Linked DNA regions of Zea mays. The protein of the gene in region 2 interacts with the protein of the main gene of each other region in a pairwise test. Links are inferred from orthologs where the notes say so. Each region holds a gene or a part of one and is shown on either strand. Other genes may lie near its edges.

What was found. The genes of interacting proteins can lie anywhere in the genome.
Region 1: the proteins of Cactin (region 2) and uncharacterized protein LOC100193457 interact in binary tests that used the Arabidopsis thaliana proteins (3 or more experiments, as listed by UniProt). The link is inferred for Zea mays from reciprocal best matches to the Arabidopsis thaliana genes AT1G03910 and AT5G63440.

The regions. Positions count from the first base shown.
Region 1 is NC_050102.1:32,853,824-32,857,870, reverse strand, and holds the start of uncharacterized protein LOC100193457, read right to left. Parts: upstream 2,804-4,047; 5' UTR 2,604-2,803; coding exon of another isoform or gene 2,504-2,603; coding exon 2,489-2,503; intron 1,939-2,488; coding exon of another isoform or gene 1,925-1,938; coding exon 1,824-1,924; intron 1,262-1,823; coding exon 1,108-1,261; intron 1,027-1,107; coding exon 930-1,026; intron 738-929; coding exon 649-737; intron 346-648; exon of another isoform or gene 317-345; coding exon 248-316; intron 112-247; coding exon 52-111; 3' UTR 1-51. UniProt on the Arabidopsis thaliana protein: May play a role during early embryonic development. Probably involved in pre-mRNA splicing.
Region 2 is NC_050096.1:296,052,748-296,055,279, reverse strand, and holds the end of Cactin, read right to left. Parts: coding exon 2,423-2,532; intron 2,343-2,422; coding exon 2,200-2,342; intron 1,767-2,199; coding exon 1,593-1,766; intron 1,164-1,592; coding exon 897-1,163; intron 811-896; coding exon 691-810; 3' UTR 514-690; downstream 1-513. UniProt on the Arabidopsis thaliana protein: Plays a role in pre-mRNA splicing by facilitating excision of a subset of introns. Required for embryogenesis.

The DNA.
Region 1 (4,047 bases), on a different chromosome or scaffold from region 2:
GAGAATATCCAGACGCATACTGCATACCACATTGCTCCATCGCTCGGGTGCCTAAGGTTGTACAGCTTCTAGGAGCTTCTCATACACTTGCCGTGCAGACAAATCCTCAACCTTAGAGCAAAATCCCAAGTATATTTTTAGAAGAGAAACAATAGTAGATACATGTAAAAAAATTGCGGGAAAGAAAAATAATATAGGATTCAGTTCAGTGCATCAGAACTGGATACTATTAGCAGTAAGAACTCACAATTAGAAGCTTAGATTTGTTATTCCATCCTCTTTGAAGGGTCATCTGAGTCAGTCTTAGGCCAAGAACCTGCTTTCACAAGCCATCAACATGGACATCTTCACATAACAAGGTTGAAAATCGAAACTGGTTATTGTCAAAGGCTAAAACCTTCCCAGTTATAAATAAGCCCCCTACTGGAAAATGGCTGCCTCAGAATTTAGACTACCAACTAAATTTGTATAAATTTATAACCAAGGGCATACTTCTTTGTATAATTTGAGCATAGATTCAAAGACATTTTAACCTACACTTATTGCATGTGATGGCACGCTGGAGCAATCAGAATATCACTTTTTACAAGGCTCAAAGTGCACAATACCACACCACAATAAGATTAGAGTGTCATTGAAGAAAATCACCTTGCCCATAAATTCTAGCAACTCACTGTTAGCTTCCCCTCGAGCAGCAAGGGCAGCTACCGTTACTCGAACGTCATCAGCATTCACTCCTGAAAACACACAGAATTCTGTCAACACATTGTATGCACCAGTGAACTCAAAGAAATAGTGCACACCAATGTCCAATCTACAATGTTTCACATGAAACTGTCAGTGCAGCCATGTACAACTTTTCATCATAAACATTGCATGTTGTAGTTTCAAAAAAAAGATAGCATACTACATTGTTAAAAAATGCATACTTGTTATTGCTGAACGTTGTGCCCGGTCTTCCACTTCAATGGCTACTTGGACAAGTCCACCTTCCAGTTGTGTGATGCAAGGAGGTACAGGAGCATCCTGCAGTTTTACGATCATTAGACCTAGAAAATACAAGCAGGTTGAATTTAGCTAAGGACTTTCTGCTGATGCGGTATATACATGTGGATTTGTCTCAGCAGCAACTGAACTCAGTGCTCCGTCAATAACGTATATGAAAGGGGCAACCTCCAGATCCTCTTCTGATCGGTAACAAACAAAAAGGTCACATCCCACACAGCTCATGCGAAACTGCTTTTCAAGCTTTCCTTCACCACTGCATGAAATATATAATTACATAATCACCACAATCTGAAGTATAACATGGTAGTCACTTTGGAATAATAACCCTGAAGGCTTGTTTGGCTGCACACCTGGACTACAATCCATCCCAATGCATATGTATGAGGTGGATTAGGATGGAAATTAACTAGATTTTAATCCCAATCCACCGCAATACATGTGAATTAGAGTGTAGCCAATCAAGGCCTGAGGTGGGTTCTTTCAAAGGAGTATGCATATAATTGCAGATCATGTTACATAAATAATTCCCATAGTGTATAATAATCCTGCTACACTATTGAAAAATCTGTAAACATATTGAATTGATGAGGCCACAAAAAGATTTGTTTCTCCTAAAAGAAAGTGGTGCACACATGTAGCCAAAATACCACCCAATTTCTTAGTTACATACTATCTGACAACTTAAGATATTCACCAGCATTTAGAATTTACAGAAGAACGTACAAACACAAGACATTAGATTTGATAATCAGAACATAGTTACAATATAAGTGAGGTGAAGAACTCCAGTACGAGTATGAGGGATATTATTATACCGTTTCAACATTACTTTTCCTGCCTCCTTAACATTTAGCCTTGAAAGATGCTTAGCCTTGTCTAAAACATGTGCTCTGTCAGTCTTTCGCTTGGGCATTTTCTGCAATTGGGTATCTTCAGAACAAACATATCAGAATGGAATATACAAAAAAATCATTCTCGAATTGTTTATACTAGTACTTCCTAAAAAAACAGTAGCAATTCCTAGTGACACAAATTAAGAAAAATCTGCTGCTGATGATGAAGCATAAACTTTAAAAACGTTTTTGGAACATGAGGTTTTACAAAATTTGTCTACTTTTAGCTTTTAGTCTATTTGATGAAAGTATTAATCAGCCTGCTATAAATTAGATTTGCATGATTTGTTCCCTTCACTCGCTGGTACAATTACATTTGTGCAATACACACACTAGATGCAGACTAACTAGACTAGTGCTACAGTACCTCCACAGCTAGAATACAAACGAAGAAAATTGAAGTATGCAGAGAAATGTTGTCGTGTGGTCTAGAACTGGTAGCTAATTTTTTCCTAGATAAAAACTATCCCCTCCTCGAAGAGTTCAAAGCTGAATCTTCCGCTTGAATTTAAGGACCCAACCTCCCTTAATTCCTAGCAGACTACCAGATCTGAGAAAATTAAGCGAATGGGGGAGGAGGAGCTGACCGGTGATGAGGACATGTGAGGCGCAGTGCTTGCAGTAGTATACGAAAAGGTCGGACTCGGGGCCCTCCGGCAGTGCGTCCTCGCTCGAGTAGGTGTGTGTCGTCCGCTTCGGCATCGCCCTCCCCTCCGCCGCCGCCGGGATCAAGAGGCGAGGCTTTCAAGGTCAGGCCTTATGGGGCAAGGGATATTCAGGCGGAGGCAATCGAGCGGCGGCGACCGGCGACGCCAGCGCCAGGCTGGATGAGGGATTCGAGTTCGAGCTGTCGCCTCCGAGAAAGAAAGGAGCGTCGGAGCCACGAGAGAAGAAAAATTGATAGCAAACTTCTATATCACTCCCTATATTACTCTCTTTTTAAAACTCTATTACGACAACAATTAATATGCAATCAGACCTTATATACAAGTGTGTTAGTACGTTAGATTATGATCCAACTGTAAATATAATCCTGATTTATTATGAGGTTTTCTATAAATCTGCACGAGCTGGTAGTGGAAAGGTTTAAGGTGCCGTTTGTTTCACGTATTGGTAACGTAACAGGTAACTAATAACGTTAAATCATGTTTGTTTAAATCCAACCGTAATCGATACTACACTACAAATGAATATCGCCTTATTCAAATTTATTAAAAAAAAACTTGACCTGCGGGGGTAAGACAGCCCCCGAGCATTGTGTTAAGAAGAAGACCTTCTCACACAGGTCAAGAAAACCCCCGAACCCCTGCCCCACCCATACACAGCGGCATCGAAGTACATGTGAGAACGACCACGACCGGGGCTAAGCCTTAGACCTGTGCTTTGGAGTGGGACAGACGAGGGGATTTTTTTAACCACAGCCTGAAATTCGCTCCCACGAGGAGTCGAACATAGGACCTGAGGAGTGCTACTCAGACCACCTAACCAACTCAGCTAGAGGCCCTTTCGCCGATATTTAAGTGTGAATCGTTACCATTACTATTTACGTTACATTTCGCGAACCAAACAGCACCTAAGTGTTAAATGTGATATATAGTTGGATCGTGATCTAACATATCAGTAGCCTCGCTTGCATGCTACACATATGGTCTGATTGCATATTAGTTGTTGCCCTCTATTATATAAATAATGCAATAAATTATAAAACAGTTATAAGGTTTGCTAGAGATGAACTTATGTTGTGCTCAACACATCTTACATCTGGTCATGTGAAATATTATTTTCACTCTATATAGTATTATTTATAGAGTATATAGTATTATTTATAGAGTGAAGATTAAAATAAAAAAATAAAATAAAATAGGTTAATAGTATTCCTAGAGATAGGCTTGCCTCTTGGGTTATGACCACCAGATCGTATAAATAGTATTGCAAAACATTGTCCTGTATTTGGCATAGTGGAGCTTAAAATAGGATCGGAGGATGAGTAAGTTGTTAGATATAGTCTCCCAGGTCCAACGAAGCTCCTGTATCGCCCCTACTAGGGATGTAAATGGTACATATATTATTCGTTTGTATTCGAATTTGATCCATCTGAGATGGCTGAGATCTAATTTGTATGACTGTATCCGAGTTCGGATATTTA
Region 2 (2,532 bases):
ATGGTTTTGTATCGGCTACATTACAGGATGTTTCTGTAGTATTGTTCCTGGATGCAGCATAACCTTTCATTGTTGATATGGCCACTGGCCAGCCATGGCTTTTGGTTTGCTTCCATGATTGCATCGAAATTAAACACAATTGATGCATATAAGGGTGGGAGCGCTCTATGGTCGGTTGGGTTTAAGATCCACCCGTTTAAACTTTGCAAAAATCATCCAACCAAATCACTCACACACTTATAACCTCCACTAAATCTAACAAACAAATTACACATAAACTTAAAAGCCATTAAAACCAACGGTTTAAATTAGTGGATGACTTCCTCTCCCTTTTTAAATCCAATAGACTATTATTTGAATCATCCCTTATCACTCTTCTCCAGCGACCCCGCCACCCCTCCTCTTACTCGTGTTGCCACCGCCATCAACCCCTCTCATTACCGAGATCTTAGCGTTAGCACAGACTACATGCTAGTTTGTTAGAAAACTATCAGCTTGCTATGCTGTATTATTGTACAACCTCAAAAAAGGGGGGAATCAGTCAGTAAAACCAAAAAGTGTGTTCCCATTTAGCATAGTACCTAATTATACTGAAGATACATACTCGACTGGTATCCATGCCACAGCATACAGCAGAATCATGACGCACCAGTCCAATCGATCCAGTTTTCCCCTGCCTCTTGAGCCATTTCAGCGCCTGTAACGGTAACGCTTGAAGTTGAAATAGAGATGGAGAATCCCACGCTCAAAAGTACACTTGAACCCCTTCTTGTGTGAGTATTCCCACTCCTTGTTCACAATACGGAAAGCCTGTGGAACAAAACAAAGTGAAAATACCGCCCATGGATAAGGCCACAGAAGAATAGAACAAAACATTGTAAGGCACAAACGCTTACAATATCCTCGTATGGAGGTCCAGCGTGAAATCTTATGAAGCAAGTCTCTCCGGCGCTTCCATCTTTCTCTATACTGTATGTTGGTGCTTTCGATTTGTCCACAAGATCAGGGTAAAATATATTGAACTTGTAGCCTTGGACAATTTTCGGTGGTGGGTTATCATGGTCATAATGAGTCTGGTTGTATTTATTCCATTCATATCCAGTGTGCACCCGATTGAAGTACTTGGGCTTTCTTGGTCGATACTTGTCGTGCCACCAGTACACCTGCAAGTATATTGAACAAGCAATATGCCATCAGAAACTAGCTGAGTTCACATGCAGTACGATGCACCAAAGTTGCTAAGTAATGCTTCTTGTGTGTAAGCTTGTTACCATGCATGGTATCAAACTCAAATATGGCATTAGACCTATATTAAACTGTCAAAATATACTCAACTATAAATTACATGAGTCAACAGATTATTTGAAAATTTTGGTGTAGCTTATGGTATGTTATATATGGTGCAGATAATCATCGATCCTTCTGGATCGACAGTAAAAAAATTGTCACAGTTATGCCATATCCCTGTTGAGTTCTGAAAACTCTCCCACTAATTCAGTATCAAAGGCAGAATATTGGACAACATAGATATACAACTATTGTCATGTTGCCATGCTAAAAATGCAATGGGATCAAAGAAAAATGATCCAAACCTGTGAATCAAGGTTCACTTCAGCACCGGCACCAAATACTGCATCTCCTTCCTCCATAGCTCCCATTGTTTTTATGGCCTTCATCTCCATCTCATCAGGTACTCTTGCCTTTGTTTTCATGGCTTCCTGAACTTTTCTTTGATGCTCCAAAACTACAGCTTCACGTTTTCGGTCCTGGAAATTATTATATAAAAGCATTAAGTATGAATTGTCACCCTCATCCTAATTATCTAATCAACTCATAAAATGAATCCTAATAACTTGTTCGTAAGAAAAACATTCACTCATTGTGTTTGTATATGAACACTTGAAAGCCCTCAAATTTAAGCCCTCTCTTAGGGTAAAAATGATGGGAGCTAAATGAATCAATGAAGGAGATGCAGGGAGGCCTGCAGCAGTTTGAAAGGTTGTCCTAATGAAAAAAATATCAGTAGAACTTTTTGTCCTAATATTGTTGGTTAGCCTACTTTGTTGCATAAATTGGAGTCTGGTTACTAATGATCTGTACTTGACAATTAAACTACTCAGTTAACTGCATTTCAGCAAATAACTATTACAGTTCCAATCACGTTTCTATTTTAATAAGAAATAAAAAACAGGACTCTACCAGCTCAGCTTTGTCCTCTTCAGGATCAATTGCATCTTCATCTTCATTGCCATGCATTAGCTGTGGAGAAAAGGATCCATCTGCCTCTTCAAATTCGTTATCTGTCTGCTGAGGCATAGGCTCAGGTGAATATCGTTTATCATCTACAAATAGAACATATATCAGAAATCACTTCATTATCTTGGGAACATAGTTGATTGAGTAATCATAAAAGAAGGTCAACCTTCGTCCTCATGCATTTCATCCTCCAGTTTATTATCAACTTCTTTCTCAGAATCCACATCCTGTTCAGCAGCACCAGGATGCTCCAATCGATGTAAATGCTTCCTTAGG